4 linked regions of the Diceros bicornis minor genome follow. The protein of the gene in region 2 purifies or fractionates together with the protein of the main gene of each other region. This does not show direct contact. Links are inferred from orthologs where the notes say so. Each region holds a gene or a part of one and is shown on either strand. Other genes may lie near its edges. The genes, in order: TCEAL9, ARMC8, RMND5B and MKLN1.

Evidence for each region.
Region 1: the proteins of ARMC8 (region 2) and TCEAL9 purify together in Homo sapiens (affinity purification with mass spectrometry; 3 studies listed by BioGRID and IntAct, with this or other methods). This does not show direct contact. The link is inferred for Diceros bicornis minor from reciprocal best matches to the Homo sapiens genes ARMC8 and TCEAL9.
Region 3: the proteins of ARMC8 (region 2) and RMND5B purify together in Homo sapiens (affinity purification with mass spectrometry; 4 studies listed by BioGRID and IntAct, with this or other methods). This does not show direct contact. The link is inferred for Diceros bicornis minor from reciprocal best matches to the Homo sapiens genes ARMC8 and RMND5B.
Region 4: the proteins of ARMC8 (region 2) and MKLN1 purify together in Homo sapiens (affinity purification with mass spectrometry; 4 studies listed by BioGRID and IntAct, with this or other methods). This does not show direct contact. The link is inferred for Diceros bicornis minor from reciprocal best matches to the Homo sapiens genes ARMC8 and MKLN1.

Annotation. Positions count from the first base shown.
Region 1 is NC_080781.1:96,198,136-96,204,182, forward strand, and holds TCEAL9 (transcription elongation factor A protein-like 9), read left to right. Parts: upstream 1-3,845; 5' UTR 3,846-3,962; intron 3,963-4,459; exon of another isoform or gene 4,460-4,526; intron 4,527-4,900; exon of another isoform or gene 4,901-4,903; 5' UTR 4,904-4,957; coding exon 4,958-5,272; 3' UTR 5,273-5,539; downstream 5,540-6,047. UniProt on the Homo sapiens protein: May be involved in transcriptional regulation.
Region 2 is NC_080741.1:15,010,655-15,017,556, forward strand, and holds the start of ARMC8 (armadillo repeat-containing protein 8), read right to left. Parts: upstream 3,004-6,902; 5' UTR 2,766-3,003; coding exon 2,721-2,765; intron 1-2,720. UniProt on the Homo sapiens protein: Component of the CTLH E3 ubiquitin-protein ligase complex that selectively accepts ubiquitin from UBE2H and mediates ubiquitination and subsequent proteasomal degradation of the transcription factor HBP1.
Region 3 is NC_080740.1:90,962,673-90,970,230, reverse strand, and holds the start of RMND5B (E3 ubiquitin-protein transferase RMND5B), read right to left. Parts: upstream 3,007-7,558; 5' UTR 2,925-3,006; intron 1-2,924. UniProt on the Homo sapiens protein: Core component of the CTLH E3 ubiquitin-protein ligase complex that selectively accepts ubiquitin from UBE2H and mediates ubiquitination and subsequent proteasomal degradation of the transcription factor HBP1.
Region 4 is NC_080742.1:79,614,373-79,622,034, forward strand, and holds the start of MKLN1 (muskelin), read left to right. Parts: upstream 1-4,660; 5' UTR 4,661-4,684; coding exon 4,685-4,782; intron 4,783-7,662. UniProt on the Homo sapiens protein: Component of the CTLH E3 ubiquitin-protein ligase complex that selectively accepts ubiquitin from UBE2H and mediates ubiquitination and subsequent proteasomal degradation of the transcription factor HBP1.

The sequences.
Region 1 (6,047 bases), on a different chromosome or scaffold from region 2:
ACCTATTGAGCACACCTCCTCTAAAATCCTGGGAAAGTGGAGCCCAACCCCCTCTAATATTGCCTTCAGGCTCCTTGCTTCATTCTCTGCCACAGGGCGAGCTTCCTCTCCATTCTACACAGGGACCTGTTCCCCTCCTTCTTTTTCCTTTTTTCCTGGAGGATATTTTCCATGTTGAGATTTTTTCCTCCGTTTATTCCACTTTGGACTCCATTACTCCTAGGAGACAAAAGCAAGCAAAAGGACTGAATACTTGGTGGAAAGATCAGCACCGAGGACAGAGGCCCTACTATGCACCTTTCAAGATTTCATATATCAACGTCTTTTTTAAATTCTATTTTTCCAACCTGAGAGGACTCCTGCGCCCTCTAGGGGGCCTCCAGCCGGAGCTCCTCCCTCGCGCTTGCTCCTCTCTCCTCCCTCTTCTAAAGCTCACCATTTTCCCTATGGATCCTTCCCCAGGCCTATGCAGGCCCCAAAAGGGAGAATCCCAAGGGGAGCCTCGTTTCCACGCCCCACCACTGTCCGGCGCATCGACCTCCGCCTGTCCTTGCTGTCTCCTCCTACTTCCCATTATCTCAGCGAAGTCTGTGGCCTTGAACCCGCTGACCCTCAGACCTACAGACGGCTGGGGTGGGGGAAGCGGGAGCTGCTGCAGCCGAGAACTCAGTGCGGACCCGCCGCCGCCCGGCTCAGTCCCAGACCCGCCCTGCGTCTCCTAGCGCCCAACTTGGTCCCTCCTTATCCTCCCTCTTTCTCCGAAGCCATCCTAAGCCTCTGGTACTCCTGGTTTTTTAGATACCCACAATGGTGGAAGAGGGGAAACTATTTAGATAGAACTTTTACCCTCCATGTCTGTTTCCTTCTCTTGTGATTCGTTTCCACATCTCTACTACCAAAATGTTTTGCACCAAAATGGGCGTGGGGCACGGGGAGCGGGGGTTGTATGAGTGGAAAGCTTTCCAGCATATACTCATCTACCCATATTCATATACCGCTTGCCGCCCCAGGACCATCCAAAATGGACTCTGGATAAGGAAAAGGTATCAAGAACGCAGACTCGGAGCCACTTGAGGGTTCTGCCCTCAGCCGACAACCATCCTGATGCCAGGGTTACCCCAGGCTGCTCCAGTCAGAACACAAACCTACGGCTTTCCGGGACAGTTGTTTTTCCCTTATTCCTTGACCAGAAGTTTTTCTTCCTCTGCAACAGGAATCATTACTCAGAGCATACAAAAGACAGGAAGAAAGGGACTTGGGCCCAGGTAGACTCTCTTCATGTGAAGGCCACATCACAGAAGAGTTCAGGCTCTCAATCCTCCCTCCCACTCAAGCAGGGCAGCGGAAACCCTCAACCCCTCCTCCTCCCCCGTCACCCCGGATCTGGAATGTCTATTTTTCCACCTTGGCATTTCAGGAGACCAGATGTAGTATTTGGCTTTCTCTAATTATCAGGGAGAGGCAGCATTTTCTGTTGGAGTTATTGTCCACTTAGAATTCTTGTGGAATTAGCCCTTTCCCCTGTTCTAACTGCCCCTCAACCTGTTCCTTCTCCCCTCCTCATCTCCCTGTAGTCATTATTTTTCCCCTGAGGCCCTTACCTGCACCTAAATGGCCAGGAAGCTAAGTGTCAGGAAAGGAGGCTGGGAGTGCAAAGTGGAACATTAACTTTCTTCTATGTACTTTTCTGTTCCAATTTTTAAATTTAAAATGCTTTGTTTTCACATTACAGAAATACAATACTTACATTTTGGGGGGAGGAAGAGAATGAGTATTTATCCCAAGATTTCTCTTTTCATTGAGGTACCTTGCTATTTGGCTGAATTAACATATCACATCATAGAAAATATTTTCCAGCTGCTACAAAGGAAAGAGAAAATTTTTAAAACATGTTAATTGCTCACAACCTTTAAGATATACTCTTTAGGAAGAAAAGTAATTTACAATAAAAAATGAGATTTTCTATTAAATAGGAAATCCTCCATAACTTGGTCATGTTTATATTTATCAATTAGAGAATGTTTCTGATGGTACTTCCCAAATAGCTTTAAAAAAAAGCAGGCTAATTAGTTTGAAAATTTGAAACAAGTTTTTCTAAAGCAAATCAACATTTTGTGTATTCAGTACATTAATCCCTGTAGACCCTAATAAGTGTCTTATTTTTGTCCTGTTTTAGACAAATGATCTATCTTTTCCACTTCTGGGAGTTTTCATCTTCATAAATAATTGGCTCAGTTACATGTTGTTAGAGGGATGCAGCCTGCTAGGCCTTGCACCTCTGGCCTGCTTATCTCCAGGGGACCCAGGAGGAGCCTAACTTTGCTGCAGGAGATAATGCCTTTGGGCATATTGCTTAAACTCTGTTTAGTTTCTTTATATAGAAAATGAAAATATCTTCCTCGCAGTTTTTGGGAGTATAAAATGAAATAATGGCATTAAAGCACCTTTCCCTTTTCAGGACATTTTGAGGATTTCTGGAACCATTTCCACCACGCTGGAAAAAAGCAGCTGCCATTCAGGATGTTTCAATCTTCCTAAGGGCAATAAATTCAAATGTTTCACTAATCACATGCTTCTTTCTAAAATTCTGAGAGCTTGCTTGTGATCTCCTGTTTTAGAGGTAAGGACAGTACAGGGAGAGTAGCTTACTAAGGGTCACACAGTCAGTTCTAGGTCTGGCACTGGAACTAATCTCCTGTCTCTCACACCAGTGTTCTGCTCAGCCAACCCAAAACCACTATATCTTGGGCTTTCTGGTGCTCAAATACACACGCTTCCCAGAAGATAGAATAATGTGACAGAAGAACAGGTGAAATAAAATGACATAGGGTGAGGGTTTTTTCTTTCCCCATAATCCACTGAGCTCTTTATTCTGCCTCATAAGGGGGCACCGAAACTTATACAAAACTAAAGTAGACGTTTATGACTTCTCCTGTTATTTTTCAAATGCTATCTCTGAGAGCTATGCAATTGTTATTGGCAAATTTGTGACTTTTACCAAAGACTGAGGTGAGGTTGAAGGGTAACCAATATCTGTTGAAGGGTTTATACTAGCCAAGTACTTTGAGCCAAGTGTTATCATTTAGAATTCCCAAGAGTCAGTTCTATGAGGTGTATGTTATTATTCCCTTCTTTCAGATGAGGAACCTCAGGCTCACAATGTGTACCTGACGATGACTCTGCAGGCAGCACAGCTTCCTGGCAAATAATGTCACCAGGGCTCTGGAGTCAAGCATTACTTTTTTTTTTTTTTCATTTTGAATCCTTTTCCCCAAATGAAATCCTAGTATAATTATAATAATAGCTTGTACACAATAGTGCACTTGCCAGGCACTATTCTCAGGATTGTAGATGTGTTAACTCATATAAGTTACTTTAAAATATATATATAAATGTACTAAGAATAAAGTAAAAACTACATTCAAAAATCTCACTCCTGTCCCAGGCTGTTTTTTTTTTTTTTTTCACAATCCGCTGCCAAACCAACCCTGCTCCACAACAGCCAAGGACCAGATTGCAGATGAAATGGAGGCTGGGGGAGGGGCGATGGATGTAGGAGTTCTTAATCCTGGGAAAAGAAGGCAGGAAGAGAATTCTTGAAAGAAGTAGAAAAGTTTAGTAGCTCCAGAAAAAGATGCAGCCCCTCCCTAGTAATCAGAGAAAGGCAAATAACATTTTTCCCTCTGGAATAGGCAACAACAAAAAAGACTGACAGGACCAAATGTATACGGGGGGAGGGAGCAGAAGGAGGGCCCATTTCTGCCGCGCTTTTGATGGGAGTGGAAAGTGGGGACCCGAGCTCACTGGTGACGTAGGTCTCACGTGACCAGGAGTCGACGTGTGCAGAAGTCCTGCTAGTCTGGTCCTTGTTCCCGTCTGGGTACCAGCTTCCTTCAGCAGCGCGGACGGTGGGGCCTGAGGCCAGGGGAAGGAGAAGGAATCAACTTGCTGGACTTTTGCAGGTTGGTGTCAAAATAGGTGCTGCCTAGGGATTTCTAGAGTGGGGGTGACGTAGGGCAGAGACTTGAGGGTGTCCTGGTCAAGTCCATCTCTCCACCTCCCACCTCCAGGTCTGCAGGAAATAATGACGCTTGGGAAAGGAACTAGGGGTCCCGGGAGAAAGACAAAAAGACCAGTGCTAGTTTAAAAATTATCATCCTCTGCTGCCTCAGACAGCTTTCCCAACGCCTACCCTGCCCCCTAGCCCCCGCCACAGTCTTAGAGATAGTTTGGAAATAATCTGCTTTTCCTACTCCCTGTGTGATGGGCAATTCGAGCTGACTTGCACTGGGGAGAAGGGGAGAACTGGGGGAAACAGAAGGTGAGAAAGTTTCCATAACCTAGAATCTTAATGAGGAAAAAGGTACGTGGTGCTGGTCTACCTACCAAGCACTCGCCCCACCCCCATCCCCTTCCCCTTCCCCACCCCTTCCCCCTCCCGTTTCCCATTTGTCCGCAGGTCTGTTGTTCATAGCACTTACACAAGGGTAAAAAAGGTGAGGAAGAAAGTGACTGGATCAGTACAGGTAGGTGAGGGGAATATTATAAAGATCCCTGGGGTGGAGGTGGGCGAGGGCGGGACAGATGTTGTGGGCCCCACTTTTCCTCTCTCTCACCTTCTCCAAGCATACTCTGCTCTAAGAGGGTCTTGCGTTATGCCCTGTGCGGGAGAAATTGTTGAGTAGGGCCTTGAAAACGGCTGGAGGAAGGGACAAGCGAGAGGTGAGCAGGTGGAAAGTGGAGGTAAGAGCCCCGGGCTCAGCCCTGATTGCTGACTGAGTCTCCCAGGTGGAAGATATTTGATGAGAGCTCTGAATCAAAGAAAGCAAATACTGAGACTGTCCAGAGCACTGGTCCATTCACCAAGCTTTTGACTTACTGTCTCCTTCTTGCTTCCTAGAAGTAATTGTATTTAAAGAGGAGTAAATAGAAAGGAAGGAAGGAAGAGAGACACAAGATGAAACCCTGTCAAAAAATTGAAGGAAGACCAGAAAATGAGAGTGAACCAAAGCTTGAGGAAGAGCCAAAGCCTGAGGAAAAGCCAGAGGAGGAGGAAGAGCCAGAGGAGGAGGAAAAAACAGAAGGAACTTTTAGAGAAAGGCTGATTCAATCTCTCCAGGAATTTAAAGAAGATATACACAACAGGCATTTAAGCAAGGAAGATATGTTTAGAGAAGTAAATGAAATAGATGAGATAAGGAGAGTAAGAAACAAACTTATAGTGATGCGTTGGAAGGTTAATCGAAACCATCCTTACCCCTATTTAATGTAGTTTACCTTGATTTTTATTTTTTCTGATATTAACATTGCCATATAGCTTTCTTTTGATTTGAATTTTCTTGATATACCCTTGTCCATCTTTCTACTTTTAATTTGTTGCTATTAGTGGTTTTAGATGCATCTCTTGTTATCTGCATCTCATTGTGTATCATATTTTGAACCAATCTACAAATCTCTGCCTTTTAATAGGAGAGCTTTACTCATTTGTACAAAAAGAGTTTCCTGACAAGATATAAAATAAAAAAAGGTTACTAAGTAATATGTGGATATCATATTTTTGAAAGAATAGTACATTTGTATAATACATATATGCACAGAAAATGCATGAAGGATGAAAGACAAAAAGTACAGTCGGGTAGGATTATGAGTGATTTTTTTATTCTGCTTATTTGTATTTTTCCTTATTCCTAGAATGTACACACATTATTGTTAAAATAATAAAAAGTTTATAATAAAAAAATAAGTAACCAACAGCACTTATCAGTTTATTTCTAAAGGCACTGGGGCACTTAATATTTGTTGACAGAACTTTAGAAGCAAATGTCAACTCCAAATAACCACCAGACCACTTAGCTAGAAGAATAGGTTTTAAATCTTTTCTCATCTGCAAAATAGAGATAATAATGATCTCTTAAGGGATCTTGTGAGGACCAAATAAGGTAATGACTATGAGCTTATATTTGACAGGTTTTTTTCCCTATCTGCCCATGCAGGATCCCAACTCCTGAGGGATTTGTTTCAGCTATTTGGGAGGGCGGAGAAAGTAG
Region 2 (6,902 bases):
TGGAGAATGGACTTGAACTGAGAGGGTAAGACACCAGATGCAGTAAAAACAATTGCAAGGACACTCTAGTACTGCAGGCACAAAATGATAAGGTCCTGAATGAGAGGGTGGCTATGGGAACAGACAGATGTGAGAAACGTTAAGAATGAAGAGCCAACAGAACTTCAAGACTGATTAGATATAGGGTCATGAAAGGGGCAAGAGTCAAAGATGATTCAAGAGGTTTAACAGTGAGTGATCAGTGAAAGTCAGTACCTTTAACAAATGGGAAGTCATGAGTAAGTCCTTCCTTTAACAGAAGGAATGTGCTTTGTTGGAAGTGATGGGTAACATTCACACAATTGAAGATGTGAGATTAGATGGAGAAAACCCAAGGCTGGCAAGGTACATGTGTGAGTTGATCATAGTTAAGGTTATAAGAGTGAATGAGATCTCTGAGGGGGGAGAAGGTATAAAGAGCCTCGAAGGGAAATCCTTTAAAACCATTTGATTTGTCCCTTGCTTGAATTATGTTTATCAAGCTGTGATAAACATTCAGACTGTGAGCTCCCTGAGGACATATCTGATCTTATACTTGCATTCTCTAAAGTATACATTACAAGGTGTTGTACACAACTGGTGCAAACTAAGTAACCTATTAAAGGAATCGATTACTTTCAAAATAATTTCTGATTAATATTTCCTGTTCCACCTGCACTTTGTATTTCAAAAAGTGGTGCTGTGGGTAGTACTTTGACAGGTACAGGTTTCACTTTAAATTAGTATAATCAATGAATTTAAACAGTTTGAATCATTTATCCAAAGCTCTGATTTCCCAAGGCTCTAGGACTGAAGAACTGACAGAGCAGACGTGGGCACTGTGAAAATTTAAAAAAAAAAAAAAGGGCTGGCCCGGTGGCTTAGCGGTTAAGTGTGCACGCTCCGCTGCTGGCGGCTCGGGTTCGGATCCCGGGCACGCGCCGACGGACCGCTTCTCCGGCCATGCTGAGGCCACGTCCCATATACAGCAACTAGAAGGATGTGCAACTATGACACACAACTATCTACTGGGGCTTTGGGGGAAAAAATAAACAAATAAAATTATAAAAAAAAAAAAAAAGCCCCCAAGGAGACTAAAGCTAAAACAAATCCCCACTAAAAGTACGAAATACTTTAGTTTTTGAATAAAACTAAACAGGAAATACTATTTACTGAGGGAGTATAACAAATGAAAATTTTAATTGTATGCACTAGTTGACTGTACAGAAAGTAAAGAAGCTTCAGGTGAAATGAAGGATAAACGAGATAATTAAAGGGAGCCAAGAACAGTCGAGGCATAGTTTAAAAAAAAATAAACATAATGAGGGAAAAGTCATTGGCCTGCTCTCCCACAAAACTTGCCTGGGTATTACAGTCAGCTGTGGGGTAATGGGCTAATCTGATTCAACACTTAGGTAAACAGTATTTCCCCATTTGCAGTTTAGAATAAGAAAAAGAACTGCTAAAATGGATCAGGGGACAAGTTTGTTGACAGCCTCCCAAAATTAAATTATCAAAGTTGCAGTATGCCACAACGCTCTAACCCTGAATCATAAGAAAACGTCCTACATGCTTCCAGATAGTTGTGTTCGTGGAAGAAGTCAGGGAAGAGAAAAGAAACCAAGGGGAGTCACATTCTAGGAACCTGACAAGCTATCTATAATCCAACTGCCCTCTCAATATCAGACTGACTTCCACAGCAAGTCTAAAAGATGGTCAACCAGTCTTTGCCTGCTTGTTTCCAACAACAGCAAATAGATCATTGGTAAACTGACCATTCTCGGAGTTGGACAGCTCTAATTTGTCGCAAAACCCTTGGAAGTTATCTCCCAGTAACTTTCACCCCGGTCCTGGTTCTCTAAAGAGCAACATAGTGAAAGGTGGAAGTCGTTTTTATTTTCTTTCATTTAAAAACAAAAAACAAACAATAACAAAAAAAACCTAGATATTACTTTCCGGCATGTCAATACGTTCCCTTCTTTCAATAATAGGAAAATCTGATCTTTTTTCCCAACGTTTGACGCTCCTTTAAAGGAAAAAAGAATGCCAGGCACAAGTTCCTTTAGACTCAGAGCTGCGACCTCCAGAGCAGACAGGAGAAAAGGGGCTTAAATAACTACATACACCCGGAGACGTTGCAGCTGATATGAAATCCCCGTTGCCAAGAAGCAAGCAGCTCCTGCCAAGTCCAGCCCGTACCCGGGTGCTGGGACGCGACAGAAGCCGCACAGACCTGGCCTGGCAGCGGCGAGGCTGTGCGGGCTAAGGAACCCGCACCTCTTCTTGCCAAAGCCGCGGGGGGCCAAGTGGGCGCTCCCTCCCGGGCCAGCGGCCAGCCCGGCGCCTCACAGGGCACAGCGCTCGGCCCCGAAAAAGAGGCAGCGCTAAGACGAAGGCTCAGTGAAGCGCCTGGCAGGGCTCAAGCCGCGCCGCCGGGCCAGCTGCCCGGACGCCCAACCACCCCGCCCGCCGGATGCCGTCCTGAGAACCGGCACCAGTGGGAGCTCCCGGAGTTGGAGACGTCTCTGGCTCGGCCGGGATCCCGTGTGTCCCGCCCGCCCACCTTCTCTCCCTCCCCGGCCCAAAGCTGAGCCGGAAGCCACCCCAAGGGGTGGTGCCCAGGAGGTCCGCCGCGTTTGGGTGACTGCTGCGGGCCGGGCCGGAGCTCCCGGGCGGGCAGGCGGCTGCGGCGGGTCACTCACCGAGAGGACGCTCATGCGGATTGGGGTCTCCAACAGGCACGCCATCTTGAGCCTTCCCACCGGCTGCAGCCGGCGCCGGCGCGGGGGCCGGCACTTTCGACAGCGAACTGTTGGGCCAACGACAGACACCTCTGCAGAAAGTCAGGCGGCTAGACGAGAAGAGACCACCTCTAGACACCGGTGAAGTACGGCCAGGGCCCGCAGAAGGGAGCAAAGGGAAACCGCACCATGGGCCGCCTTACGAAACGTCCTCTCAGAAACAGCAGCTACTCTCAGCCCGGGTTAGAGGTGGGAGCGGGCAGAGTTTCCGCATGCGCAAAGAAGATCTGCCGGCCCCACCTGCCGCTCGCGGTGGGCGGAGCCTCGGGGGCGGAGTCTGGCTCCGCCGCTACGAGTTCCACAGATTGATTCATTGCAATTTATGTTAGCGTATTCATGTTCCGAAAAACTAGTATGTGGAGTAACATACATAATTTGAAGTTCACTTTCACATTCAGTACCTCACTCCTTCTTTGCATCGAAATCCTAGCGTCGTTATTATCTCCATTTTAGAGATGGAGAAACTAGGATCTCAGAACCAGATCTACTGCCGCCAATAAGAGGGTTTCACGATCCAACGCTGAAGTGTGACCTGCTTCAGCATTATCTGCCCGACTCATTTATTGTGGTGTAGTGTTAAGAAGAGACACTCAAGAGCCAGAACGCTTGGGTTTAATCCTTGCTACGTCACTTATCAGCTGCATTACCTCCAGCAAGTTCTTGAACCTCCTTACGCTTCAGTTTTCTCTTCTGTAAAATAAGGGTTATGAGGATGGAGAACGTAAAGCTCTTAGAACATGCCTGGAACGTAGAAGGCGTTATATATGTGGTAGCATTTCTACAGCCTCTGAGTCAAGCAGAAAAAAATGGGGGCAAATATCTGAATAATCCACACTAAAACGCCCTGATAAATGAAGTCATATAAAATATGCTTCTAATTGTATTTTCTGATTGATTAATTCAGTTATCCCACTCCATTTTTGTGTGTGTATGTGGACAAAACTGCCCTGGACGTGGCTGGACAGGGTTCACTTTCGTGCTGCTCTCAACCAGGAAGGTTTTTCACAGGATTGTCGCAATGAGCCTATTACATTACATGTCTTCCTTCCGTTTCTATGCCACTCCCTAATTCAGGCTATTACCTCTCCCCTGGACTAGAGCAATAGCCTTCCAACTCTAGCGTCTCTTCACTTTGCTCCTCACTGCTCTCTTATCTTCCCTCTGTACTTGGTTTCTAAATTTATTGTAGCACTAATCATCCTTGCTTATGGGTCTGTGTTCCTGAAAAAACCGTTGAGTTGCTGGAAAGCAGGAATTTCATTTTAGATTTTCCTGCTGCTACAACACTATTTCCCAAACTTCAGTAATCAGCATGCCACCAACACAATCTTTGCCAATCTGCACCTAGATATTGTTATTTAGTCAATATTTTTCTTTAAAGTCAATTTCAACTCATTAAGTAATATTAGCCTCATCCTAAAACCATAACGCTCTGTAAAATTAAGTTTATTGTGCTCCTTTTCATTCTAGTGCACATTAACATAATAACTACAAAAACGTTTAAATGTCCATCCGTGTATCACCTAAGAGCATGTCATGTACTGCATACCACAACAGAGCAGAGTATAGCCCTTACACAGAGCATACAGAGGTATCAATTGAATTTTCAGTTGACATTTGTATGATATAGTTATTATAGCTGTATTTGGTCCACACTTCATCCATTAGCTCAAGCAATACATCCTCCAGGAAGCCCCTCCCCCAAGTATAGGTTAGGTGCCCCCTCCCCCATATCTTCATGCATCAATCTGTTCTTGCCACTAACATAGCATCTCCAACAATATATTGTAAATTTTTGCAATTGTTTAGTTGTTTGTATCGCCATTATACACTTCAGGGCAGGCACTAGGAATTTTATCTTCTAGGTCTTTTATCTCATTGCCTAGCATAGAATAGTCATTTAGTAAATGTTTGTTGAACAAATTTTTGGCTTAGTTTGGGCACCCCAAAGGCACATCCTGGGACAATGATTTGGGTGCAGGTAGTTTATTTGGAAAGTGTCTCCAAGGAACAGAATTGATGGGCCAGGGAGAATGAGAAAAGAGAGAAGAAAAAGTCAATATAAGGGTCCATCATTGAAGTCACTGCTTATTCTTTGAGGACCTCTGAGAAACAAGCAGAATGCCCCACTGGATACCCATCTTGAGGTTGGAGCATTTATCCACCATTCCCATCTACCACTCCCATCCTGTACTGATTGAGGGTTTCCCGGGCACTGTTAACTCCCTACCCTCCTGGATTGTACTTGTGCACAGAACAGAGAGGGCTGGCTTAACCTGATGTAGAAAAGCAGAATCTGTAGGCTCACTTTTGGGCTGGGATACAGGAATACAGGCAGCAGGAATCGGAGCTTGCAGCAGAACCATCATTACAGCTATGGCTGAAATTAGAATGGGGAGGGGCTCTGGAACATGACTCAAGGCATCCAACACCTCTGCTACTCAGGCTTTCCTGTTTTATTTCCAGAAGATTGACATGGCCATTTTACAGGAAGGAAGCATTGATCAGCAAACCCCTAAGCTTGAGGATCAAGGATCTCATTTCTAGTTCAAATTTTGCTGCTAAATAACCTTAGGCACACTCCCAAACCTAAGTAATGAGTAGAAATTGAGGGGTAATAAGAAATTTTGATTCAGCCTCCATGTAACAGCAACAACAAAACAGTTAACTTTGGTACTGTGGTCGGGAGAGGGAACTATCCACTGACTCCCTGAAAACAGGAAAGAAATCTCTCCTCATCCTCCATCAACTCTTATCTCAGAGCAATATTAATTTCTAAAAAAATAATGACAACAAAGTGTGAGTTTAATAAAAGAAAAAGTAGAAATGCATAACAAGAAGGAAGTAGCCAGAGAGAAATTTGAAAAGTATTTATAAATATCTAAGTGGAACTGCCAAGATAGAGAAACAAAGCCATATTTTTGAAAGTTGAAACATACCTATGTAAAAAGAGGAAAGCTTAGGGGCCGGCCCGGTGGCGCAAGCGGTTAGGTGCGTGCGCTCTGCTGCGGCGGCCCGGGGTTCGCTGGTTCGGATCCCGGGCGCGCACCGACGCACTGCTTGGTAAGCCATGCTGTGGCGGCGTCCCATATAAAGTGGAGGAAGATGGGCACGGATGTTAGCCCAGGGCCGTCTTCCTCAGCAAAAAAAGAGGAGGATTGGCGGATGTTAGCTCAGGGCTGATCTCCTCACAAAAAAAAAAAAAAAAAAAAAAAAAAAGAGGAAAGCTTAAAGTATATAAAGATGTAAAACAAGAAATGAATGGCCCCAAAAGGAATTTAGAAGAAACTTTAAAAAGATTTGAAAACAAATAAGATTCTTTAATAAATAAAACAGAAAGAGAAAATGGATTAATAGTGGTGCAGAAGAGAGAGAGTTCAGTTTAACAGACACTAAGTGTGGATTTACTTGGGCACACATTGTACTGGGGATTCAAAGTAGAATAAAGATGTGGCTCCTGCCTTCAAGTAGACAGGAATAAAAGTGAGACTCTGAGAGGTTCAGTAATTTGCTTAAGTTTGCTCAGGGAGTAAGTGGCTAAAACAATTTGGGCACAGGCTTCTCTGTTTCAAAGTCCTTCCCAGAGCTCTCACAGTCCTCTGGGACCTGACAAACTCTCCCACACGGGACTCTTGAGCACTCACCTAAGCAATCAGCCAATTAAGGAGAGTCTACAAGGGCTTTGCAATGGGAAGTAATGCATCATTAATTCATCAGGTGTTTGGAGGGTGTAAAATAGGTATATGCATAAAGCAGAAGTAGTAAGATGTTGAAAAAGTCTTTTATTAGAAATTACAGTAAAAAAAAGAAAATGTTCTTTTTATAACTCAATTACTGTTATGGTAGAATCCCAACTTACAAATGTAGAAGAAATGATGGAATTTGAAAACCAACAATTGACAACCATGTGAATTATAATAGTTTGAGGCAAGAATCATCAATGGATGTTAAAACTAGTTGGTGACGATATGATGAGAAAGAGGATATTTATGCAGTCTTAAAGTATCTCCCCACAAGTTACTAATGATAGTAGAAACCTAGTAGACATCGCTTTATTCAAGTGATTATAATTAATATCACCAC
Region 3 (7,558 bases), on a different chromosome or scaffold from region 2:
CAGACTCTCTTCCCATCCTCACCAGCACTGTCAGTCCTGGCCTCATCATCTCAGCCCAGCCTGTAGCCACTGTCTCCCTACCAGGCAGGGGACAAGTGACGGGGAAATGGCACTCAGGGGCTTGAGACATGTTTATGCCTTCCCTCTTTACAGGTGATGCTCACACTAGAATTTGTAATCATGGTGTCCAGAAGACATGTTCCCCTCTTCATGCCCCCTGAGCAAATACTCTATAACTGGATGTGAGCCATTATGGGCAAAATATACCAGAGACTCCTACCTGAAATACTGTAATTATTATTAATATTGCTGTTAGTAGTTAACATTTCTTAGAGGTTTATTCTGTGCTAGGCACTGTTCTAATGACTTTGCATACATTAACTAATTTACTTAGTTCTTACAAAAGCACTATGAGGTAGGTACAATTATTAGACCCACTTTACAGATGAGAAAATGAGATGCACAAAGATTAAATAAGTTGCCCATGGTCACTCAGCGGGGAGGTGGAGGGCCTGGGAACTGAAGCTGGGCAGTCTGGCTCCAGAGCCCTTCTGTGAAGCACCTCATATCCCCAGTCCTCTCTGGACCAGCTTCACAGGCCACTGTCTCACCAGGAAAGGAAAGCAGCCAAGAGTTGTGGTTGGAATGAGCGTACAGCAACGATTAATGATGACAAGAAACAGGAAATTAACCACAGAGCCTGTGAGATGATCAACTAGGAAAGATGACAGCACAAAAGAATGTTTGCCAAGAGTGTCTGGGAACCAGAATCACAACTGACCAAAAATAAACACAGCTCAAGAAAGGTCAGGACCTCACCAAGGTCAAACACTCTGCCCATGTCAGGCACCAAGTGATACCAGGGTTATCAAAGGGAAGCCCAAGTCAGCATCTTGAAACTGTATTAAAAGGCTGAGGGAGGAGATGGGTACAAGGATTTTTATCCCAGTTATATGTTGTAGCAGGGAATGGGAGCCAATCTAGGGCCTCATCACTGGGGGAATTGATAAGCCAAGGAAATAAGATGTGGGGGATGCATCTACGGAAACCGGGGTAGCATTTAGAAACCATGTTTCAGATAATCCCACAGCAACATCAATTAGATCCCAAAATGTGGTCCTGAGGGGGAAAAAGTAACAAAATGAACTCTAGGCAAAATACCACTTATGTAAATTAAAAATATATGCATACAACCAAGCATGCAAATAAAAGGATATACACCAAACACATCCGAGTGGTTTCCTATGGTGGGGGAAGAAGGGAGGAATGGGGATGAAAAGGAATACATAGATAAACACAAAGGAGAAAACGGCCCTGCATGGACCAATTAAATGTACAATGAACTGAGAAGTGTGATTAAATCTAAAAAATTTAAAAATAAAATCAATGACCTGGGAAAACAAAACTGTTTGTGAGTATTCCATCCAAAAAGCCCAGGAGGCTAATTCAGTCTGTCCAGGGTGAGCCACTCTGCCTGGATCACAGTCGGCCATCTTTACCAGACACCAGGATGGATGAGTGTGTGAGTTTGTCTTTCACAAACCGCATGATTAATCTAATGGAATTTCATGTCCATTGTCCTAAGCCCTCCTCCCCAAGGTCTCACATGTACAGAAATTATCCACCAGGGTGATCCCACCAAAATGACACATCAGATCCTATCTCCCTTTCTCAACCCTGCCATAGCTTGACAGACAAGTCCTTTGTAATTGTACATTCGCTTCCTTTGCACAAGTCTTTCCTATGTCCAGAGTGCCCTCCGCACTCCTCTGCATGGAGAACACAAGATGTGGTTTAATCATCAGCTCCCCATGAAGCCCTCAATGAAATCTCCCTGCCTTCTCCTCTGCTGCACAAACCTGTCGAGAACGCCCCTGCCACACACAGCTGAGTCCTCAGCTCTGGCACAGTAACTGCCTGCTCACACGTCTGTCTCCCCCACTGGACTGTGAGCTGCTCACGGCTGGAGTCCAGTCTCGTCCTCTCTCTCCCCTCAGTGCCAGCCCCGGGCCTGGTCCATAGCTGGTGCTCAGTGAACATTTGCTGATTAAACAGTGCAGACATTTCCTAACCCCTGGGCTAGGGAGCGGGAGCTCAAACCTGCGGGAGGTGGGCGGGAAGAGACATGAGTGAAATATTAAAATTCCCACCAAGGCATGCATGGAGGTTTTGTTCCCAGTCTTCAGCACCCTGAAACAAGAGAGTCCCTTCTGGGGCAAGGGGGAAGAAGGGAAGTTTGTGCAAATCATAGGGAGGTCCCCTTTGCCTAACACAGAATTGGAGAGTGACCCAACACTTATTCTTTTGCACCCCCCACCTCTATCCATTCTCCACCCTACACATCACTCCTCTGCTTAAAACTCAACAAATTCTCATTGTACTTAGAACGAAATAAACCCTCCTTTTTATGGCCTACAAGGCTCTATGTGAGTTGACTCCCAACCACCTCTCCAACCTCATCTTCTATCACTCTCCCCCTCACTCGCCATAACTCCAGCCACAGTAGCCTTCTTTCTGTTCCTTGACTACATCTACTTTATTTCTGCCTCAGGGCCTTTGCACTGACTGTTTTCTCTGCCTGGAACAGTCTTCGCCCAGATCTTCCCATGGCTGGCTCCTCATTACAGTCTCAGGGCAAACGTTATCTCTTCAAAGATGCTCTCCTAGACCACAGTATCTAATGCTGACCTCTGCCCCACCCCCACACTAGTCACTCTGTCCTGTCACCCTGTTCCTTTTCTTCATTGCACATCTCTATTTGAAGTTTCAAATCTTTCTTTTGTCATTAACCAAAACTGGTGGACTGCAGCACCTACTGGGAGTTTCAGCTACATTAACGTGCAAGTGACTGGCAAACTCCGACTCATCCTTCAAAAGACCCTGCTCGCTTGCCCCGCCTGGCCCCCTCATCCGCAGTGAGTTACCTCCGACCCGGCCAGGTGGCACTAGGGTGGGACGTCCGGGTCCGAGCGACTCCCCCGGCAGAGGCGGCTCCTCGACGGTCCTGTGAGTCTGTGGGACTCCCGCTCCAGGCCCGGGACCACGACTGCGGATAAAGCAAGCCCGAGGGCGGACTGGAGCGGGGGCGGAGTCGGGGGCTTCCGAGACGGCCCGGGGCCTGGGGCCCGGCCGAGCCACCGACCCCCGCGGCCGTCCGCCACCCGGCGCCCCGCCCTCGGCCCGCCCCGCCCGGCCGGGAAGCCGCCGTCTCTCACCTGCCCGGCAGCCCGGCCCTGGCTTCCGGCGCGCTGTCATCGGAACCGGAAGCGGCGGCTGTTGCTCAGCCGCCCGGGCCCGCCCACTCGCGGCTCGCCGGAGGGGAGCAGTCCCGCGCGCGTCCCCGCGGGCCCCCGCCACCCCCGCGCGCCAGCAGTCGAGTCGTCCGGGCCGCGCCGGGGCTCCGGGGCCCAAAGGCCCTTGCCGGGCCGCCACCTGCCCCGGCGGCGGGAAGGACTCGGTCGCCCCACGCGCTAGCCGGCGTGGTGCGCGGGGCAGGCGACTTCCCCACCCGGAAGAGGAGCCGGCGGGCCCACCGGGCGCGCCCCGTCCCGGCGCCGCGGCGCCGCGTTCCGCAGCCCTAAACCAGAAGAGACTGCCTCCCCCGCCCCCCGACCTCGTTGGAGTAAAGCCAATACCGAACAGCACAACGCACGGGAGGGGGCCCATGTCAGGCTTTCCTGCGATGGCTCCTTGATGCTGTTTTTGAAACATCAAATGATGCACCGTTGCTGATCCCCTAATCCTGTACTTAATCTACCCACTGGACATTCAATAGGGGAATTAGAGTCTGCTGGGGGGGACCCAGCTTCTGCCCTGCCGTCCTCCATTGGTCGCCCTCCTTGGGGGTCTGGGGAAAGATGGGGGTTGCACAACTGCCCTAAGGAGGAAGGGTGAGGGTTAAGAAGGAGGAGAGAGGAGGCGGTGACCCCAGACCCAGCTCAGAACTGAATTTATGATCCTCCCAGGCGCCCTTGCTCTGGAGGGGAGGAGCAGAGAAGCTCCCACCGCTCCACAGGCCTCAGGGACTTGGACTAGAAACAGCCTGGGAGAAAAGGCTCAGTCTGTTTCCTTGACTTCCTGCTTCCTTTTGGGGCAGCCCCATTCCAGGGCATCCTCCCCTCTAATCCTCCTCGCCTCCTCACCACCCCCACCCCACCCACAAACCCCCTTGACAATCTTGTTCTGTTCTCTGTATAGCACTTGCGCAATCCAGTTTTGTTTTCTTTATAGCATTTGACTTTAAATTATCTCGTGTTGATTTGTTTATTCTGTCTTCCTGCCCCTAACACCTCTCCCCCTTTAGGATAAAAATTCCATTGGAGCCGGGACTTCGTACTCCTCACTTCTATATCCCCAACACCATGTGCTTGGAGCATAGTAGGTGCTTAGAAATATTCTAAGGTAGCCAATATCCTCCACCTGACGAAATACGTAGGGAAGACGGGGGTCCACAGACCCACGGGGAGGGAGCCCGCAAGGCGTTGGAGCATCCTGGAGAGGCCGGTCTGTGCTTAGAGCCTGGGTGGTCCTGGCCCATGGGGGAGCTAGGGGCTGGAGGGTTGAGTGAACCTTGCCTGGGGCCATGAGGCCGAGGCTCAGGCCGCCTGGAAGCCAGCAGGACCTCACAGGCTTTCCCCAACGCCCCAGGCTTCCCCACTTCCTCTCTGGGAGCCCTGGCCTGCTTGTCTGGGAACTTTGAAGGCACGTCTGTATGTCGGGCACTGTCACCTCTGCCTGTCATGGTTTTCCCCAGCATGTGGCTCTCCTTGCATTGCGGTTTTGTTACTTTTTAGGATGCACCAAGTTTTTTTACGTAGCTGATTTTGTCAATCTTTCCTCGCTGGGATTGTGTGTTTGTGTTTTGTTTTTGTTGAGGGTAGGGCTGCTTCAAAGCAGAAAAACTGAGCTGTTCTCCTCTAACTCGATTACAGTCTGCTTAACTTTTTTGCTAGCTTCCTAGGATTTGACTTTTAAAATTTAACTCCTCAATACATGTCCATTTTGTTTTGCGGGGAGTGGTGCAAAGTATGACATTTTTTTCCCATATTTTTGTTCAGTTACCCCAGCACCTCTTATTAAATAATCCTTCCTTACCCTTTTGTTTTGAAGCCCTTTATCATAATATTAAGATTTTTCTACAGTATAGAATCTATTTCTGGCTCTTCATTCTTTCCATTGAGGTGTAGTGTTATTTTTACAGCAATATCATACTGTTTTACTTGCTAATTTGCGATATGTTCTAATATATGGTAGGATTAAACACTGCTCACAAAAAGGGAAAAAAAGAAAAACACAAAGTTATTGAGAAAGCAGATCACCGGTGCCTGGAGGTGGGGGAGAAGGCTGACTACAGAAGGGCACAGAGGAATTTGGGGGGATGATGGAACTCTTCTATATCTTGATTGTAGGGTTGGTTATACAATTCTGCATTTGTCAAAGCTCTAAAAACAGTACCCTAAAGAGGGTGAATTTTCCTGTATGTAAAATATACCTTAAAAATGGTGGTGGGGGAACAGGTACACAGAGGACACTATATAAATCTCTTTTAAAAAAAGGTTCTACGGGCCGGCCCCATGGCTTAGCGGTTGGGTGCACGTGCTCCGCTACTGGCCCCGGGTTCGATCCCGGGCACGCACCGACGCACCGCTTCTCGGGCCATGCTGAGGCCGCGTCCCACATACAGCAACTAGAAGGATGTGCAACTATGACATACAACTATCTACTAGGCTTTGGGGAAAAAAAAGGAGGAGGATTGGCAATAGATGTTAGCTCAGAGCCGGTCTTCCTCAGCAAAAAGAGGAGGATTAGCATGGATGTTAGCTCAGGGTTGATCTTCCTCACTAACTAACTAACTAACTAACTAACTAAATAAATAAATAAATAAATAGATAAAGGTTCTTGACAGAGAGGGCAAGCCCTGGAGTGCTCTCCTGAAAATACAGCCTCCTTCACCTCCCAGACCGAGTCCTGGAAGGCCAGGCCAGGAAAAAATGGACCCTCCTGACAGCTGGTGGGGTGGGGGCAGCGGTGGGTGATGCAGCCACTGCCTGTCCTCCTCTGGGGAACATAGGAGCATCAGGGCTCAGTCCATGGAGCCAGAGTTGCTGCTCAGGCCCTGTCTCTTCCTTCCAGCCTACAGGTGGCTCCCAACGTCTCCCGCTCCTTCTTCCTGTTCCTGTCCCTCCTTGAAAGCTTTGGTTCAGGCCAGGAGTGGCTACATAATTTGCAGGCCCCAGAGAAAAATGAAAATACGAGGCCCCTTGTTCAAACATTGTTAAGGAACTCAAGATGGGACAACAGAGTACTGTCACATAAAGTGTAGGCCCCTCTGAGCGGGGGGCCCTTTGGGACTACAGGTGACACACACATAAACTAGTCCTGGTTCTGGCCCTTCCTCTTGGCTGCCTGAGGGACCCACCCAGTCACAGGAGGTGAAGTCCTCTGTGCCAGCTCACTAGGCTGTCCAGGACCTGTCTTGCCTTCCCTCAGCCCTTCCAGCAAGAACCCTCCCCTGGACCTGCCCCACACTTCCCTGTGTCCAAGTCCAAGCCCATCCTGTGATGCCCTAATCCCATACTGCTCCAGAGGAAAGCCCCCCAACTTCCCCTCCTCAGAGAAGCTCACCCGTGGTAAAGACAAAAATTACTCATGACACTTGTTCAAGAGTGGTAAGAAGACTTTATTCAAGGGGGACTACTGCAACGGGGTTTTATAGTAGGGGAGAGTGGGCTCAATGCCACATATGACAAGGAAAAGTAGAATTTACAGCCAAGGAGCAGGGTGGGGTCAGTGGATGGAAAATTACTAAGGAAACCTCAGGGGGCAGGGGGGATCCTGGCTAAAGGAACCTCACAGGATTCTCGCTGAAGGCAGGCCAGGGTGATCAGATACTTTCTGGGGGATGACCGGGGCTGAAGAACCAGATTAGATAGAGGGTGATCAGATATGGAGGATGGAGGATTCTGGCTAAACTAACTAAGCAGGATTCTTGCTAGAACTGGACTGAACAAGGAAGGACACAGGAGCCCAAGGTCAGGTATAGTGAAAAAGAGAGCTCAGAAGGACCTGACCAAAGTTTGGTCAACCCTTGTCACCCCCCCCCATCACCTGGAATGGTGAGCCAGCTATCCTCTGAACTCCCATCGCACTCAAGGCTCACCTCTCGTGACACATTTCACTTTGTTTTTGTTGCGAGAAATGGCATTTTCTTTTTAATAATTTTATTTATTTTTTTCCCCCAAAGCCCCAGTAGGTAGTTGTATGTTATAGCTGCACATCCTTCTAGTTGCTGTATGTGGGACGCGGCCTCAGCATGGCCGGAGAAGTGGTGCGTCGGTGCGTGCCTGGGATTGAACCCGGGCCGCCAGTAGCGGAGCGCCCACACTTAACCGCTAAGCCACGGGGCAGGCCTGAAATGGCATTTTCTTTTCTGAATCCAGTATAGAAGCCTAAGTGCCCATAGGGCGGTGGGTTATGCAATCTGAATCGTCACTGTGGGGCCTGCACCCCATTTAGAGAAAGGCTCCCTAATACTTACAGCCCCCAGTCTCAGAGAAAT
Region 4 (7,662 bases), on a different chromosome or scaffold from region 2:
GAGGCCACTTGGGAGGAGGACTTGTGACCTTTGGTTGACTTAGAGTGACCTTACAGACAGGGAGTCAGGGGAAGGAATACCCCAACCTCACTCTCTTCTCTCCCACACATCTGGAGGGGCAAACCAAAGATAACAAACAATTATTTAACTTTTCTGAGTCTTATTTTTCTCATTTGTGAAAAGGGGAATAATAATATTTATCTCTCAGAGTTTCTGTAAGAATTAAATGAGAACTTAACGTTATATCATAGCAGACAAGCTAGGCAATACTCTTTTTTCATTTGATCTTTAAAATCCTCTTGTGACGTAAATAGGATAGATTTTATTAAATTCACTTTATAGTGGTGGAAAATGAAACTCAGAGAAGTTAAGTGACTTTCCTAAGGTCTCATAGCTAGAAAAGTAGCAGAACTGAGACTGAAACTAAGATTTTGAACGTATACTCTAAGTTTCTTTCCCTAGACTATTCTTTTTTTTTTTTGGTGAGGAAGATTAGCCCTGAGCTACCACCTGTTGCCAATTCTCCTCTTTTTTGCTGAGACAGATTGGCCCTGGGCTAACATCCGTGCCCATCTTCCTCTACTTTACATGTGGGACGCCTGCCACAGCATGGCTTGTTGAGTGGTGCGTAGGTCTGTACCTGGGATCTGAACCTGCGAACCCTGGGCCAGCGAAGCAGAGAGCGTGAACTTAACCACTAAGCCACTGGACCAGCCCCTCCCTAGACTATTCTTGTACCCCTCTATGCCCTTCTGCAGAAGGCTTCCACAGATGGTTTCTTCTATCTAGAGCTGCTATACCTGGAGCTATGGTGACTCTGCTACTCAGAGAAAAATTAATTGACCCAGGAATCAGTGCCTAAGCCAAAAAAAGGAACCACTGATTCATTAGATATGAAGAAGGCCAAATGCCTATGAAGTGGCTTGATATAAGACTCTGACCAATACAGGTCCCCATGTCGGATACTTGGCAATTCCACTTGGATATCTATTAGGCATCCCTTATATAGTACATTGAAGTCAGAATACTTGATTCCTTCTACCTAGAAACTGTACCAATCCCAAATCCTCCCCTCTCAATAAAAGCATGGCTATCTACCCAGTGGTGCAAACCCAAAACCCAGGAGTTATTCTTGATTCTTTCCTTTTCCTCCTGCCTTCCCTCCCTCATCAGCAAGTCTACTTGGCTTTACTTCCAAAATATGTCCCCATTCAATCACTTCTCTCCATCTCCTCTGCTAGTCCAAGCCACCATCATTTCTTGCCTGGCTATTATAATAACTTCCAGTCCTCACTTCAGCTCTTGCCTCTTTCCAACCCATTTTCAGTTTTGCAGAGCCATCTCTACAAAATGTAAAGTGGATCATGCTACTCCTTGGCTTGAATCCCTGCAGATTTCCCCTTCACATTTCCATGTCATGACTCCTTACCATGACTGTTAGGGCCCTACTGGTTCTGTCTCCCCTCTCCTCCTCCGTCACTAAGCTCCAGCCACACTTTCTATTCTATGAACACACAAACCCCTTTCCTGGCTTGGGCCCATTGCACTTGCTTATTCTCTCTACCTAGAATGTTTTTTTATCTAGCCTTTGCATGGCTGGCACTTTCTCATTGTATAGGTATTAGCTCAAATATTACCTTCTTAGAGAAGCTTTCCTTTACCATTCAATCTAAATTTTACTCTGGTGTAGTCTTTTCTTAGGACCTAAAACGCACAGGCAAAAATTATCTAGTTGACTTATTTATTATATTTATTATATGTTGCCCTACCAGAATGTAAGCTCCACGAAAGCACAGCCCTTCTCTGGCTTCTCTGTTTATCCCTGTCTCCTAGGTATCTAGGACAGGGCCTGGCATATCAGAGCCTCTTAATAAATCTTTTTTTGCAGGAAAAGATAGTGAATGGTGACAACCCAAATACAATTAGTTATCTCTCTGGGAAGTATTTACTATGAGAAGCCTACTGAGAAGTCATCAGAGAGTAAAAGATGATTGCTTTTAGGGGATGACAAGGTGACTGGGTCACTAGAGCTGTTGATCCCTGAAAAATGATGATTCATTGTCCAGTTCTCCATGAAGCCATCAATATGTCCCAATCTTAGAAGTGTGGGGGAACTAGAGGGGCTAAATGGATGTGATGGTTTCCAGGCCTTCCCCATGTATCCTTACAACAAACCCCACCACCTAAGGCAATGCCCCAAAGGCAGAGGAGGTAAAGGTATACCCCTAGGAGATCTGAGCAACTAGCAGACTCTTGTGGATTTTAAAATTTCTTTAGTCTTCTATTTTATCTTAACATTTACCCAAATTTTGGGTTCAGTATCATAATATATCTATCTGTATTTATATTAACAAATGAATGCTTTAAATTACTTTGCCACTTGTAAAATGTGTGCTGTATGAAAGCCATGCTGTCCTGGGTCTTTACATTCTTTGTGGCAATTGTACCTCAGGGATACATGTTTGCAGTCTGAGAAGCTCTGGCATTCTTTTTCTTTGCAACCCAAGTTCTCTTTTATTCTTTTATTCACAGTTCATTATTCTTCAGTAAATATTTATCGAACATCTACTATGTGATAGACACTCTAATAGGACTGAGGATATGACTGTGAACAAGATATGCATGACTCCTACCTTCACAGGAGTTATAGTTTAGGGAGAGAGAATGAGAAATAAAGAGGAAATTAAAACATATTGTGATTTTTGCTAAGATAAGGAGGGAAACTCAGGGTGCCAAGAGAAATGTAGAAAATAGTACCTAATCCCAAAATATGTGATGAGGAGTGATTTTCTAGAACGAAATAACCTGAAAAATGAGCAGGAGTTAGTCAGGCGAAGAATGGGGGAGAGTTTCTGGCTTGGTTTGGACTAAGCCCTGGAGGCCAGAGAGAGCACAGAACTTAAAGGAGACAATTCAGTGTGTTAGTTTAGTGTGGCTAGAGTAAAGAGTGCAAAAGAAAAAGAAGAGAGAGAAGGCTGGAGAGGTAATCAAGGCAGGATACAAAAGGCCTCCGCTAAGGACTTTCGATGTTACCCAAAGGGAATAGAAAGTCATTGAAAGTCACATTAGGAAAAACCGGCTTATATGTGTTTTTTAAAAAGATCACTCAGGAACCATAACTCTATTTCTGGAAAAGAACAAGGACTCTACTCACATTAGGGTAAGAATTAGCAATTTCAGGGCCCAAAACTAATTGAACTGAGTCACCATCTTAATCTTCTCCCCTTAAAAGTATCTCTTTTCCCCCAAAATAACCACTAGTCATCTTTGGGACTAAGCTTTTCTGGCCTCTCCTACTGTCTCTGGTCTCCCAACTCGAGTCACTGGGGCTATAGCATTCCCTCAAGGAACAAATCCTTTTCCAACATGCTGTAACACACAAAGCACATGTGATTTTAAAGGTTAACATATTGTGGCTTTTCTATGAGGCATTCTTGATCTGATAGTCTAGTGGAGGCCACTACTAAGTTTTCCCCTATGGAAACAGGAAGTCAGGAGAGGATCCGAGGAAGTTTGGGCAGGTTAATGATTATAATGGGAAAAGAATACAATTATTCAGGTGTTTTGACTTAGTTGGTCATACACTGAGAAACTCTGCATGAGTTTTTCCATCTTCAGGTGGAGATGAAGATAGCGTCCAGGTTTTCAAGGGTAGAACCTCTTAGACAGGGAGTGACGAGGACTTTGGTAATTGCAGTGGCTAAGCCAAAGAACAAACATGCCAACCCTGACAAACAGGTACTTGATGGGAGCGTTTTCTAAAGCTGCCAGATATTGAGAGCAAGTGTTCCTTTTTTGATGAGAAGCTGGTATGATGCCCCTAGGGCATTCAGAGCACAAGGGCTTTTATTCTCTTTGTGGTCTTTTTCATGAAACTCTCTGTCTCTCACTCTTTCTGAACTTTTGGGCTAAATTTCTGACAGAGCTAAAAGTGGGCAGCTTTACCACCTGGAAAAATGATGACACACAGCTTCCCAACTCCGTGAGGATTTTTGTGGTCTGCGAGTGAATGTCACTACTGAGCAAACCACTTCCACAAGATTAGGATGAGAGAGCTCACAACCAATGTTTATAGCGAAGGGCATCACAGACTGAAAACAGAACAGGGTGAGAGGACAGCCGAGCACCTCCTTTTCCTGTCTCCATGTGACTCTGAAACACGGGAACAAGACATTTAAAACCAGGACAACTCCAGAGGGAAAGGACATTGGCTATTCCACTCCAATTCCCCTCAATGCTGCTTCCCTAAAGGATTTATAAACTGGAGAGGGCAGTGGTTTCTAAAGTCGCAAAGGCGTCCTTTCTCCAAGTTCGTCTTCTCATTTTCCCTTCCCGGCCCACAACTACAATTTATTTCTTTTCATAATATTCTTGGCTTTTTCCTTACTTCAGCTTGTGAGAAAAGTCCTTTGTGCCACTCCCCTCCAAGCCCCACAGGAGAGCTCCTCAGGTGCTCACACTCCAGTCCCAGTTTCGGCCAGTCATTAAGGAGGGTTCAGCGTCGGAGATCCTAGACGAGAATCGCTGACCCTCGCCCGCCTCAGCCCTCCACGCGGGGGTAGCGATGCGAGACCGGGAGAGCGGACGGCCCAGGCGGGCCGCTGCCCCTTTAAGAGCAGGCCCCGCCCCTCCCCTCCTCCCGGCGCGGCCGGCGGTCGGTGGCGGCCGCTACGGTGCTGACAAGATGGCGGCTGGCGGGGCTGTCGCTGTGGCGCCTGAGTGCCGGCTTCTCCCCTACGCGCTACACAAGTGGAGCTCCTTCTCCTCCACCTACCTTCCCGAGTAAGTGCTGGGCCCTGGGCTCGTGCTGCCCTACTCTTCGGCGTAAGCACGGCTGGGCCAGGGGGGCGGTGGAGGGCAGCCGAGCCGAGAGGCCCAGGCGCGGCCTGGTGAGGGGGACGCGCGGCCTCCGGAGTCTCAGTCCGGCCGCGGAGAGCGTTTCCCGCCCCCGCCTCAGGGAGGGGTGAGGGTCCGGAGAGCGAGGTCCTGGCGGAAGGGGCGAGGTGTGTGGCTGGTCTTGAGTGCGCAGGAGAACGGGGAGCCGGGTGATGCTGCGCCGGGGACTTGGGAGTGGAGGAGGGCTTGGGGGGCGGGCGGCTCAGGGAGATGGGGCAGGAATCGGAGTTTTTGGGGTCCCGACGGCGGGCAAACTGGTGAAGATGTCTAAGGTCGTCCGAGGTGGCCGGAGACGGGGGACGGTTCAGTCGATTGCTGCCGGGACACGAAAAGTGTAAAGCTGAGGAGTGACTGTCCCGAGGAGGGGAGGATCATTAAAAGTGAATAGCTCCAGAGGGGGGGCTAAAAAGCCACGGAAGGCTGGAAAGTTGTGGAATCCACCTGAATCCTTGCAAGTGGGGAGTCGTTGTGGGATTTGCACAGGATATCTTTTCCGGCTGGCAGTTCTGGAAAACGTAGTGGGTAGGAGGGACATTACAGAAGAGTTCCGTTATATGATGGCTCAGAGTATGGGTTCATATAGACACAGGCCAATTTCCCAACCTCGAAACTCAAGTATAGGTAGAAAAGTCTGACTTGAATAAATTTGACTTCCAACACTGGCTTAGTCTGGATCCGCGATTTAGGTGAAAAAGCTCCACTGCCTTACTACCATACGTTTTCTGTAGCAGATTCCTTCTGAGATGCTGAAAGTACTTTCATACAGTATTTACTTATCTTTAGCTTATCTTTGAGAGAAGGAGCAGATCAAACTCCAATTTTACATACAGATAGAGAAACTGGCTTAGTAAAGTTTTAAGATCTGTGCAGATGCTGAAGACAAGTGCTAGTTTTCCCCCGGACCATCATCTCACAAGCTCAGGAATGATTTTATGAACCAAACAAGTTACAAATAATGTATTTTTATGTTACTGAAAAAATAAAGTGACTAGATCTGTGATCTAGTCACACAATTTGAGCATACTCAAAGAAGTTTTCCACCTATATTTCAAAAATTCTTCACGTTTTCTCAAACTTGGTTTCTCTAGTCAAATCAGTCAGTAATCTCAAAATGGAGCTGTGACTAGAAGAATCTAACTCTTTTTACTGCCAGCCCATTGTCCTATTAGCCAGGTCAAGGGTTGGCAATCAGGCCTTCAGTAGGATCTGGTTTAGTGAAGGGTGCCAAGTGACCTGTGGTCTAATCTGGCCTGTGTGGCATATTGATGGCTGCTGGGTGGCTGTGTCCCTGATTGATGCTGGAATCCAACTTTTAATTTGAGAGTGAGCCAGAGAAACATTCTAGCTTTCAGTTGGAGTTGAAATGTGGCTCTAGGTACTTGCCTTCTGATTTTCAGGGCTAACAGATTCTTGAATCTGAAGATACTCAGTATTTTTCTATACCCAGGTTAGGATCACAGACAGTTCGTAATTGGGGTGGCATTGTTTGATCTAATAACTGTGGAGACATTTTCATCATCTTGAGTTAGGCTGTTTCCAGGATTTCACTCCTTAAACTTCTAGTGTAAGAGTTGGATATCACAAGTTCCATCTGAGTTTTGAGTAAAAAAGAAATAGTACATTTCAAGCAGGAAATGATTTAGTGGGATGGCAACTTTACTCTGATTTATGTCTCATCCTGACCCCCGATTTGAAGTGGACAGAGCACTAGTTTTGAGGTTAGAAGGCAGCAGTTTGAAATTGGAGAAATCTGTTAGAATTTTCTCAAATATATTCATAAACTAATATTTAACGCATATTTAAATTTCAAACACTTTCATTCACAGTGTCTTATTTAATCCTTATGATATTCTGTTGACTTATGCATATAGTTTTTATTTTAAAGGACTAAACTATTATGATAGAAGAGTAGTCTGAACTTTTTCTTTGAAGGAGTATAGTTGAGTATTATGGAGCTTGAGTTTGAGAGTTTTGTGTCTGCTGGGTTGGTGTGTGCCATGCCAAAATCGTAAAACTCTTTTGGTACTGGACTTCCATTAGCAAGTGAGGATTTTATACCTTTGTTATGATAGGAAGTGTGAGAAAGGGATTGACTTTCTTTACTATTGCCCTAAAATCCTCTCTAACAGCAGTTGCTATATCTTTACTGGCAGTGACAGTTATGTTAAGGTACTTCCTAAGCAGGTCTGATTTTAAGTAAAGCCATTTGTTGAAATTTACTGAATTGAATTGTCAGTAAAGAGTAGCAAGTATTTATTGATTACAAGTCAGGAGCTAGGCATTTTGAGGGGTAACAACAATGGGAAACACTTATAATAATGTGCCTTCCATATGCTAGGCACTCTTATGATCACTTTAAGTGTATTATCTCATTTAATCCTCACAACAGTTGTTTGAGGAATCTCCATTTTTCAGTGGAGGAAGCAGGCATGGAGAAATTAAAACTTGCCTAAGGTCACACTGCTAGATGGAGCTGGGATTCGAACCCAGGCAGTCTGGCTCCACGTTCCATGGTCTTCTGTAGTGCTGTTCTGCTTCTGCACGAAGGTAGAGACAGGAATTCAGAGATTTGAAAGTGTTCTTCTATTAAAGGCACTTAACATTTTAGTTTTGTGAAGACGTGAAGTCGTGGGAGAAAAAGAAAAATTCACTTCTCTATTTTCTTCCTAAGGACTTAGAATTTTTTTCCTTCTAACCCTTTTAGAATTATTTGGACTTTAAAAATGTTAAAGCAGATCTAGTTATAGATAACATATTTTACTTTGA